Nothobranchius furzeri: one gene and its partners. Each later gene encodes a partner of the first gene's protein in a complex. Links are inferred from orthologs where the notes say so. Each region holds a gene or a part of one and is shown in the gene's direction. Other genes may lie near its edges.

What was found.
Region 2: smarca2 (region 1) and dpf3 share a complex: the UniProt entries of both Homo sapiens proteins name them as parts of the BAF complex. The link is inferred for Nothobranchius furzeri from reciprocal best matches to the Homo sapiens genes SMARCA2 and DPF3.
Region 3: smarca2 (region 1) and smarcd3b share a complex: the UniProt entries of both Homo sapiens proteins name them as parts of the BAF complex. The link is inferred for Nothobranchius furzeri from reciprocal best matches to the Homo sapiens genes SMARCA2 and SMARCD3.

What each region holds. Positions count from the first base shown.
Region 1 is NC_091750.1:37,858,832-37,862,342, forward strand, and holds part of smarca2 (probable global transcription activator SNF2L2), read left to right. Parts: intron 1-274; coding exon 275-341; intron 342-419; coding exon 420-530; intron 531-2,185; coding exon 2,186-2,428; intron 2,429-3,511. UniProt on the Homo sapiens protein: ATPase involved in transcriptional activation and repression of select genes by chromatin remodeling (alteration of DNA-nucleosome topology).
Region 2 is NC_091742.1:25,606,831-25,611,079, forward strand, and holds the start of dpf3 (zinc finger protein DPF3), read left to right. Parts: upstream 1-1,438; 5' UTR 1,439-1,553; coding exon 1,554-1,585; intron 1,586-4,249. Other genes in the region: wdr21 (WD repeat domain 21), read right to left, coding at 1-11, 93-172. UniProt on the Homo sapiens protein: Belongs to the neuron-specific chromatin remodeling complex (nBAF complex).
Region 3 is NC_091747.1:45,543,155-45,547,178, reverse strand, and holds the start of smarcd3b (SWI/SNF-related matrix-associated actin-dependent regulator of chromatin subfamily D member 3b), read left to right. Parts: upstream 1-1,213; 5' UTR 1,214-1,348; coding exon 1,349-1,426; intron 1,427-4,024. UniProt on the Homo sapiens protein: Involved in transcriptional activation and repression of select genes by chromatin remodeling (alteration of DNA-nucleosome topology).

The sequences.
Region 1 (3,511 bases):
TGACAGTTTTAGGCCGAATACTTAAATTTTAACTAAGATGCACTAAAGTGCCGAATTATTGACTACATTTGTCTACAGCACGAGTAGCAAAATAATGTTGATTTGGAGTGACTTGCTCTTTTAATAGCTCCTTCCTTTCCTTCCTGTGTCTACGTGTTCTGGATGAGTTCTTCCCCGGGTAACAGAAGCCTCATCCTTTAGAAGAGAACTGCTCTGAATTCAGTCCACAAACATGTAAACAACTCCTCCTGTGATGCGTTTGTGTCTTCTCTAGGACTATGTCTAACTGGGTCTATGAGCTGGATAAATGGGCTCCTTCTGTGGTCAAAATAGCTTACAAGGTAAAGCGAATCTTCTGTTTGTTTATTTCATCCTGATAGTTTTTCCCCACACAGCTGTGTGTTTTCCTCCCGTTCCAGGGTACTCCGGGTTTGCGCCGTGGACTTGTGCCGCAGCTCCGCAGCGGGAAGTTTAACGTCCTACTGACCACCTACGAATACATCATCAAGGACAAGCACATCCTGGCCAAGGTGAAGGAGGGTCTGCTCACACGCCTCATCAGTACTTCTATTATCGGTTTTCATTGTTTGAGCTTTGGTTTGGGCGAACTAACTGATTTTCTTCAGATTTAATCAAAGCAAATGAGCAAAGTTCTATATTACAATCAATACTTACTAGGGATGAGCCGGATACTCGTTTCAGACGCGTATCCGTTATGGATAAAGCATTTTTGACGAATACGAGCATGAAACAAGTAAAACTCGTAAATATCTGTAATGGTGCTGAAGGAAAATCCTCATTGGATAACTGACTGTCTTCACGCTCTGTGATTGGCCAGTCACATAGAGCGCCCGCCCCTCCCTACACACAAAACTCTGCAGCCGGGAGCTCAGTCTGGCCCATGCATCCACACACACACACACACACAGACAATAACGGATCTCGCTGCTTGCTTTACTAATGCTCACGTTTCTTCAGAGCTCCCTAGGTTTTCTTCAGCTCGGTTTAATATTTAAAGTTCATTTTTTTTGTAACGCACGTGGTGCATTTGACTAGACAGACAGCTCGTGCTGCGTCGGTCACTGCCTCCGCTCCGCTGGGTCTGTCTCTGTCTCTCTCTCTGTCTCTCTCTGTCTCTCTCTCTCTCTCTCTCTCTGTCTCTCTGTCTCTCTCTGTCTCTCTCTCTGTCTCTCTCTCTCTCTCTCTCTCTCTCTCTCTCTCTCTCTCTCTCTCTCTCTCTCTCTCTCTCTCTCTCTCTCTCTCTCTCTCTCTCTCTCTCTCTCTCTCTCTCTCTCTCTCTCTCTCTCTCTCTCTCTCTCTCTCTCTCTCTCTCTCTCTCTCTCTCTCTCTCTCTCTCTCTCTCTCTCTCTCTCTCTCTCTCTCTCTCTCTCTCTCTCTCTCTCTCTCTCTCTCTCTGCATTAATTCATGCACTTAAATATTAATGTTCTGATTTTATTGAAAAAATTGTTCCTTTACTATTGCAATCAAAAATATTTAATATCAATTCTGAGGCTGTTCTGTAAATACTTTTCAAATAAACAATACTCATAGCAACTTCTGATCAATCCATATCAATTTCAGACTTAAAACAATGTATTAATGTAAACCACACCCACTTCCGGGTTAGGCCACGCCCACACCACGTACACATACAGATAGTGGTGTACTCGCTCAGCCCTATTACTTACTTTCTCCTAAACGAAACCTTTGGTAGCGAGTTTTCTCCGCCATGAGCTAAATACGAATGACCTACAGAACGTTGGATCCAATTTAGTCTCGCTTACGGCCGCGTCGTGTCGTCTGCAGATGCTTTAAAGGTCAACTAAACTGTAGGAAATGAAAGCAGCTGAACTTATCTTCTGTAATTTAAAGCAGAACGATGATTATCTGGTTCTTAGTCGGTGAAAAGCGGTTTAAAGCTGATTTCAGCAGCTGTACGGTGATGAAATGTGTTTAAAACTTTTATTGACTTTTGTGCAACATCTGAGTTTGTTTTTCTCCCTCCTGCTGTGATCGTGTTCAACGAGGAGCTGAGATCATTTTTATACGGAATGGAAAAACATACAAATGAAGAAACTTTGGATAAAATTCAAAGTTGTTTTCATTTGAGGATCAAGACTGGAGTCTTTGGAGCTCGTCCTGGTTTGACCCTGAGGGTTTAGCTAGTTTGTGTTTTCACTCCAGATCCGTTGGAAGTACATGATCGTGGACGAGGGCCATCGTATGAAGAACCACCACTGTAAGCTGACCCAGGTGTTGAACACACACTACGTGGCTCCACGCCGCCTCCTCCTGACCGGAACGCCGCTGCAGAACAAGCTTCCTGAACTCTGGGCCTTGCTCAACTTCCTGCTGCCCACCATCTTCAAGAGCTGCAGCACCTTTGAGCAGTGGTTCAACGCCCCGTTCGCCATGACCGGAGAGCGGGTAACGGCTCACTGTTTAATCTCCCCCAGAGGGACCGATTTTCCTCACAAATCACTAGAAACATCAGACGGAAACCGGCAGAGCCACAGAAATGTTTAACCAGCTTTAGCGGCTCCAGTGATTCGTTTGACAGGATGAAAACAAAAGAAAAATAAATAAATGTTGTAATTATTTATTTCCGCACCTGGAGTCAGGCACGAGCGCTGGAAGTCGAGAGAGCGAGGCGGGGAACGCTGCGAGTCAACGCCGGCTTTGCTGCATCATTTCAGGCTCATGTACAGAAAAGCTTGTAGGTGCTTTTGGTTTCCTGTGAAAATTCCCAGAACGGAACCAGGAAGTTTGTGGGAATTTCAGTTTCTCAAAGCTGACCAATCATGTTATGGCCAGAGGTGGAAACGCCCGCCTCACTAGCATAAATGCGAGAGGGAAATGTGGAAATAATTGCAACATCCGTCCGCTTATCCGGGGTCGGGTCGCGGGGGCAGCAGCCTAAGTCGAGAGGCCCACACTTCCCTCTCCCAGTCTCTTGGGCCAGCTCCTCCGGGGAATCCCAAGGCGTTCCCTGGCCTGGTGAGAGACATAGTCCCTCCAGCGTGTCCTGGGTCTTCCTTTAGCCCTCCTCCCGGTTGGGCGTGCCCGGAAAACCTTACCGGGGAGGCGTCCAGGAGGCATCCTGACCAGATGCCCGAGCCACCTCAACTGGCTCCTCTTTTATGCGGAGGAGCAGCGGCTCTACTCCGAGCCCCTCCCGCATGACCGAGCTTCTCACCACATTTACAACATATATTTGTTTATCTTTATTTACTCCGTTATTTAATTTTATATTTCCTTCTTCGTGTATTTAATTAATGTCTGTTTTGGCAGGAAGAGCAGGAAACTCAGACGTCGGTGTTGCTCTTATATCTTTCCCCTTTTATAATTTATTCAGCTTTACATTTTGCTCTGAAAGTTTGCTTGAAAGGAGAAGCAGATGTTGTGTTTACTGCTCTTCCCACCTGATGCATCATGTATTCGGGCATGTTGTATGTGCCTCTTAGCTTCACACGCGTACCGATGACGGCTTTCTAACATACTCGACACCCA
Region 2 (4,249 bases), on another chromosome or scaffold:
TGAGTCCATACCTGTACACAGAACACAACAAAGCTACATAATTCCTGATAGCACACTTTCAGGAACACTATGGATGTTTATATTGTACACACTGTTCGTCGCCAGCAGATCTTTCACGGTCGTTTATGTACCGTCCGTAGCGACGACTTTGTGGCCAGTTTCGTTTCTTCATCCTTTTTTTTTCTTGGCTCCAACAGTGAAGGTTGTCACATCACGCTTTCTGTTCACGACGTGATTACTTGTTAGCTAAGTTAGCAACGTTAGCATTAGAGCTAGCGACACGTTTGCTAATGTAGCTGGACTTCAAAAACGTTGCATACAACAAAGGTTTAAAACAGCAAATTAATCCTAGTGACGATGAACAAACATAATTCAGAATAAAGTACTAATTATGACTTAATTTTTAAACTCTCTTGAGCTACTTGGTTTACGGTAATGCGGCATTCGATGTACCTCGGAAAAAGGAAAATGCTACTTGTACTGACGCGTTCAATGGGCAAGTCGTTCCGTGGGCAAAGTGAGACAAAACTGTTTGTACTTCAGGTTTAATATTTTACTTTATCAAAAGTCATCAAAGTATTTAAGGTTGCTCAATAATTAAGCAGACAAATATGAAAGAGCGAATGCTGACTTACCAACTGTTCACAAACGCAACGTCACGTCATTTTACATAGTCCCGCCTTTCGAACTTATCATTGGTAAATTTTTTCAACAACAATTTTCGGACGTAAGATACGTTCATTGGTTGCTGCATTTAAGATCATGTGGGACATTTGAATTTTCAATCAACAATAAACAAAAATCACTGAAAAGCCGAAACAATTATCAATACGGTAATTATAATTTTGATTTGTCATCCACCATGTTCTACTTTAATACGAAAATCCATATTAATCTGAAAAGTAAGAGAAAATAATATTGAAATTGTATAAATAATAGTTTTACTATATTGTTGCGCTTTTATTGATTTGAAAATAATCTTCAATTAAAGTAACTGAGCATTTATTTTTAACAGCTGAGCACAAGAAACAACTCTGAGCCCGTCACGTGGTTCCAAGAAACAATAATTGTGCGTTGAAGGCTACATTTAATTCCGGTGGACATTAAATGTAGCATACGCGTCCTCTACGAAATGATTAATGATGTTGAACATTAAAAACAAACAAATCACAGAAATTAATAACTTTGATCACGAACTTCGTGATTTATACCCATTGGTAGTATGTAATGTAAATTAGGACAAATAATGCTCAAATGTTCAAACAAAAAGATAAAAAATTGTAGAAATATTAAGAACATCTGGTAATGGCGTACAACTCATAAACTTTTAGACAGCTGTTTTATAACTAAATCTAATTATTTGAGTGGAATGATTCCAGTGCAGAGTATGTTGACATATTTCACTGAAGCCACGCCTCATGTGTTGATGCTTCTGTTGTATTAGAAAGAGCAGAGGACCGCATTGGCTGTCGTTTTTTCCTTTTTTCTTTTTTTTAAGAAGGGTCCCAAACTGCACACAGATTTGGAATATTGCATTACAGTTCTGCAGAAAGATGGCGACTGTCATTCATAATCCATTAAAATCGTAAGTGTATTTCTTTTATCCTTTTTTAAATCTTAGTCGAGCAGCTGCAGACACAACGGTTCCTTTTCCATGTGTTTTTTTAATGATAGGAATCATAAACGCAGCCTTTCATCTGCACTCGGACTGTCTGTTATAATCAGGTATCGCTGCGCGCTGTTGTGCAAAGATCCTCACATAAAAGCATGCACGTTGTAGAAAAAAAGCACACTCTTTAGACATCCAGTCTCGTTGTGCAGTTGGTTTCGCATATGAAGAAAGTTTCACGCAAAAAAGAAGCGACTGGTAAAAGTTTGCATCGGGGAATCCCTAATAGCGATGAAAATTTTGATGCAAATGACATCACAACTGGCGCGCGCACGGGCACTTATTTCAAATGCGTGCACAGTATACTCACAGGAGCAGATTAAAACACGGCCGTGCATGTAGAGGAAATCTGCACCAATATTAAACACATATTGTCAGAAAATGGCAACACAACCATATTGTATGATTTGGAAATCTATAAGTCTTAATTTGCTTTTTCTCCCCTCTAGAAAAGGTTGCCATGTGTCATGTGTCTCAGTGATAGCTCGTGTGTGTGTAAGAATTCTAGGTTTTGTTATAGGAACCGTAATCCAATTCTGCGCCACTTCTTTTAAAACCTTCAGCATGACCTTTCTGGGTAAATGTGTTCCAAATAATACACGTTGTTATCTAAAGCTCTTTGTTGGAAAAAAAGGGAAAAAATGCTTTAAGCTGTTGTTTTCCATCAAAACAGATTAGGATGTAGTGAGTGTACGCGTTAGCTTTTGTTTGCGGTTGTGCCTGTCAAGCAGGAGATTAACAGTGTCCCAGTATTCTCCTGTGGGTCTATCTGTTAAGAGAAAGGCACAAGTTAGGAGCTGATGAAGGAGTACGGATGGGGGTCCCCATCTGTTATTTGTGTGCATCAGATCTAATATTTGCAGAAAAAGATAAGCACTTTTTAAGTCAAAGTATTAAAATACATTTAGAATTGACTTTACATTTTTAAGGGGTATTTTAGCAACTTTAAAGTGTTTTTTTGTTATAAATATATCCGTCTTACTCAATGTAAAAGTCTTCCGAAACAATCTCAGTTTAGAGAAATTACATTCTTCAGGACTGATGTGAGGGTGGCTTGCCAACTCCGGGTCGGGAGAGAGGTCCTACCTCAAGTGGAGGAGTTTAAGTATCTCAGGGTCTTGTTCACGAGTGAGGGTAGGAGGGATCGGGAGATCGACAGGCGGATTGGTTCGGCGTCTGCAGTGATGCGGACGCTGAGCCGATCTGTCGTGGTGAAGAGGGAGCTGAGCCAGAAAGCCAGGCTCTCGATTTACCGGTCCATCTACGTCCCAATCCTCACCTATGGTCATGAGCTTTGGGTAATGACCGAAAGAACGAGATCGCGGATACAAGCGGCCGAAATGAGTTTCCTCCGTAGGGTGGCCGGGCTCAGCCTTAGAGATAGGGTGAGGAGCTCGGACATTCGGGAGGGACTCGGAGTAGAACCGCTGCTCCTCCGGATCGAAAGGAGTCAGTTGAGGTGGTTTGGGCATCTGGTCAGGATGCCTCCTGGACGCCTCCCTGGGGAGGTGTTTCGGGCATGTCCTGCCGGCAGGAGTTCCCCGGGTCGACCCAGGACACGTTGGAGAGGTTAAATCTCCAATCTGGTCCGGGAACGCCTTGGGGTCCTGCCGGAGGAGCTGGTGGAGGTGGCCGGGGAGAGGACGGTCTGGAGCTCCCTAGTTGGGATGCTGCCCCCGCAACCCGGACCTGGATAAGCAGAGGAAGACGATGACGACGAGGATGATGAATCGAGTGGCCCATGGTGGCGGTGAGGTTATGGGCAGGCATATGTTATGGAAAACAAGTACAGGTGCATTTTATTGATGGGATATTGAACACACAGCGATACCGTGATGAGATCCTGAAGCTCAATGTTGCGCAGTTCAACCACGGCCATCAACTCATTTTGCAGCATGATAATGCACGGCTCCGTCTAGCAAGGTTCTGTGCACAGTTCCTGAAAGATGAAAAGATCCCAGTTCTTGCTTGACTGGATGTGCCACCCATCAAGCACATTTGTATACAACCAGTTCTTGACAAAATTTAGCAACCTTGAACAGCTATTGAAGTGGGGTGGACCAACAATTCACAGGCCACATTCAACAACCTGATCAACTCCAACGGAGATGTGTTGAACTGCATGAGGCACATGGTGACTACACCAAATACTGACTGTTTTTTTTATATTGCTTTCTTAAGTAACTGTATTATACAAAATTAACTGTAATGTGATGTTGATAAAATAATGTTGCTCGACTTGCTATAAAATATCAAAGATTGAATCTTGGATATAAAGCAGCAGTGTGTAGTCTCCTGGCGCTAGGGGGCAGTACATACATTTCACGGTAGTTTGACAGCTTATCGCCGTGACTGTCGCTAGTTTAAAAAAAAAACCAGAACGGTAAATGTTGTTACCTGTGGAGCAGAAAGCATGCGACCTCGGCATGATGCCTTCGATTTTGATGGTCCTTCAGGTAATTCCATCAGGAGAATGTAATGTTGATTGTAGTTTTCTGGTGCTGTTGTTTCTGCTCGGGGTCCTGCGTCTGCCGATGATGCCATCATACTACAGCAATACGGCTGGCCCAAAATAAACTG
Region 3 (4,024 bases), on another chromosome or scaffold:
AAATATTTGGAGGAACATGTTGGCTTTTTGGAAATCTGTACCAGTTAACGTATTTAGGATTTATCTGGTGTCTGGGTTTGGTTGAACTAATAGATTTGACTTTAAAAAGTGATGATGTGACCTCTGACCCTCTCATCACATCTATTCCACAGAAATAAAATTTCCTATTAATCTTGATTATAAATAGAAGCAACCTTGTTATTTATTTTAATACATCCGTCATAAATGATTTCTTATTTGGAGATCAATGTTGGTCATAATTTCTTTCTTCCTGGACTTCTTTGTTTCGTTGCCTCTCTGACACCAGCAGAAAAACAGAAAAGGAAATGATAACGGTGACGATTTGCCTTCGCGTGCTCCGCTTCGCCTCCTTTTGTCATTCAGATAACCTCATGAATATTTCACCCCTCTGATCCAGCGGCTGGAGGAAAGCGAGGGGCTGGAGCGGTCAGGGTGTGGGGTAGCTCTGGTCTGAGTGTCGACCTGTGTGAGGATGACAGTCTGGATTATTCGGCTGTCTTCTCTTTAGTCCTTCTGCCCTTGAAAGGACGAGTGTGTGTAACAGCTTCAGCTTTCTGCATTTTTATAGATAATAACATCAGCGAAGCAGGAGATCCGGGCAGGGTTGAGTGTGATTGCTGGTGTCATACAGAGTCACCTTGCTGCCCTGGCACTGGGTGAGGGGTGAAAACCAGTGAGGTGACTGGGGGACATGCTCCCAACTTACCAGTGCAGCCCTCCTGAGTAAGTTAGTGTGTGAAGCTCTCCATCATGTGGCGACTTAATGAGATGCAGCGTGGCCCCTTTAAGACTCCATCTTTTTTTGAGAATGGGCCCAGAGTCAGGGTTCTGTGTGTGCTGACCGTGGCCTCTGATGGTCTGGGGGGTGGAGGGTGTCTTGTTTTAGACCAAACCTCTCTGCAACGCATGCCCTTATCTACCAATGGAATGCAACAGCTGTGTGGGGGGAGCGGCAGGGTGGGCTGGCTGAAACCCCCCTGCCAGACCCCTGCATGGCTTCTCCCCCTCCACACACACACACACCACCCTACTCCACCTCCAAGCGAGCGACGTGCCGGGCTTCTGAAAGGCAGCACAACTCAAAAGTGATCCAGACACACAGAGAGCGGCTCGGCGGGGCTGCTACACGCTGAGGGGGAGAGAGAGAGAGAGGGGGGGGGGAGGAAAAAAGGGAGAGGGAGGGAAGAGGGAGAAGGAGAGTCAGGGACAAGCAGTGCTGAAAAGGAGAGCACAAAGAGAAGGAAAGTGGAGCAGGGGAGGGGAACAGGAGGCTGGGTGAAGGGAGAGGGAAAGACAAAAGAAGGAGAGGGGAGACAGGACTGAGCAAATGGCTACGGAGGAGACGGCGGGGGGAGCCAGGAAAGCCACCAAGAGCAAACTGTTTGAGTTCCTGGTCCATGGAGTGGTGAGTGGCGCTGTCTGTCATTCCCATGTAGAGGAGCCGAGCTCTGGCATGCATCTGTGTGTGTGATGGTGTGGATGAGTCGGTGGAGCAGCGTGTGTGTGTGTGTGTGTGTGTGTGTGTGTGTGTGTGTGTGTTATAGCTGGGTAAAAGCTGGCCATGTGAAGGATATTTCCAGCCCCTCTGATCCGTCAGGAGATGGCTTGAGGAGGATGAGAAGTGGAGCAGCATGAATGGATGGCTCTGAGCGGGAGGGAGGATTTCTACACATGAATAATTGTAGAAACAGAAGCTAAGGCAGCAGCAGCTCCTCCTTTTGCTAACATGAGGAGGGAAATGACGAGGTCCTTCCAGAAGGCGAGATGCTGGCTTCAACCTGTGAGGTCATCAGATGGAGTCAGAGCAGACGGCTGATCCTGGAGATCACACCGAACAATCAGATCCTTCATGTAACACCAGCTCGGCTAGAGGTTAGGCAGCTGTGAGCTGACACATGGGGCAGGTTTGTTTTGGTCGACTTCACCTCATCTCCAACATTTATGGCAGCTTAAACCACTCCTGACCTCAAACCAGACAACATATTCTTATTTCCACATAAAATAAAGGATCTAACCAGGCGCATTTATTACATTTTGTGATACAGATTATAAAAAACTCTGATATTTGCCAATTAAGTGAATAAATAATGAATTAACTGGCAAGAAAGTATGAGAAGATCCTCAGGAAGCAACAAACTTAATATTATTGTTGTTGCTGCAGATAAATGATGGATTTAATGCTGTTACGGTCAAAGAAGGCATGTGAAGCATTTCTGTGTGATGGTGGTGAGCCTCAGCTACCAAAACACCAAATCCTGACTCAATAACTGAAAACAGCTGAGTTTGAGGCGTTGATGCGTTTTGGCTGTGGCGGCCATCTTGAATCAAGGTGACTCCAGAAGTTAATTAGCTGAAGATGTTCTTCTAATGAGAGTTGGATTCAAATCCATCCAGTTTGGGATTATTCTGTTTATTACCAACGCAAACCGGATGATTGAACAGTTTTCAAGACTCCTGTTAGAAGTTGAACTGGTTTAAACTGGTGAAATGGGAAATGGGCACAATCTTCCAATTCCATGTTAGGAATGATTCAAATAATGACCATTTCAAGCTTGAATTGTTTAAAAAAACACTCAAAATTTATAGAAACATCATAAAGTTATTGTAAAGCTTCATCTAAAGTTTAGTTTGAATCATTTGCTGTGCTTAATTGAAATATGCACTGATAATCTACATTATTTAATAAGATTTTTACAGGATCTGATGGTTTTCTCTAATGAAACGGTGAAAAACCGTCTCGTATCCATCGTAAAGGCTCTAGGTGATACTTTTATGCTTTAATCTGTGAAGTTTTCTGACTCGGTTTGGGTTTTAATCCACGCTTGGTTGATTAATACTCTGAAACCAGATGAGATGTGGTGTCTTTGACAGGAACAGTCATTAAAAGGGGTCTGGGTGGCGAAGTCCCGCGCTCGCAGACACATTTTAGGAAACAACGGAGCAGGTGATTGATGAGCCAGATGAATCCGTCCTCTCAACAGACCAATTAACCTTGATGAGTCTCTGGCTGCTCTAAGCCAAATATTTCTCTCTGCTTGTTTTCTCCTCTCCCCTTTCATCCTCGTTTCTTCCCTCATATTTGATGGAAACATCTTGTTTTTATGCAGAAATATTTATACTAAAAGATGTGGGATCTGGCTCAGTGTGTCAGCTTGTGGTGGACGATGATATTTTCTTTCCTTTAGTGGGGAAATGTAAGAAGAAAATGGCTTTTTGATGCAGAAAACTTGCTAAAACTGCAGCCTGTGGTTCTTATGCAGTTTCTCCACTGAGGGACTAATAAAGGTGTTCTTATTCTTATTCTTATGGGTCATTATCTCCTCTATGTCCCATCTCGTGTCTGTGGACGTACGGTTGGAGGAAAATCCTCCGTGAGAAAACCAAAGATAAGCCAACACGTGAAGTGGCACACTGTAGCTATGTTGTCTGCAAAATGTTGCACAATTTGTGCAAAAGTGAACACAGACTTGATTTTTCTCCCACGTTAGTCGTTCTTTAAAGGAAAAGTTCCCACAAGGGGAGTTTCTTCCATGTTTCTGGAGTTTTGGGGTAATCAACGTCTGAAAGATGCAAAAGATCTTTTTATTCTGGGTGATTATTTTTTTAAAGCCGTCGTCACGGTGATCTGGTCAGCAGCCATGATGACATCTTTCTGTTTCTTCAAATAATTAAATATTTGAATCATAAAATCAAACAAAAGTAAACACAAGCAAATCTAAAATGCTCATTAAACCAGATTTATTCTGCTGTTTACATGTGTTCAACTTTTAGAAATTCATTTATATAATAATAATATACAATAGAATATCAAAATAATTTCAATCAAATTAAATTAGTTTATCATTGTAATCTATCATTATTTATGAATATCTAGTCAAACAAAAATATTTATGAGAAATAACTAAGATTTAAGAAATTATAAGGTTTGTTTTATTTACTTAAATATTCTGATAGTAAATATTTAATATAAAATATTTAAATACAAAGTCAAATAACATGTTCT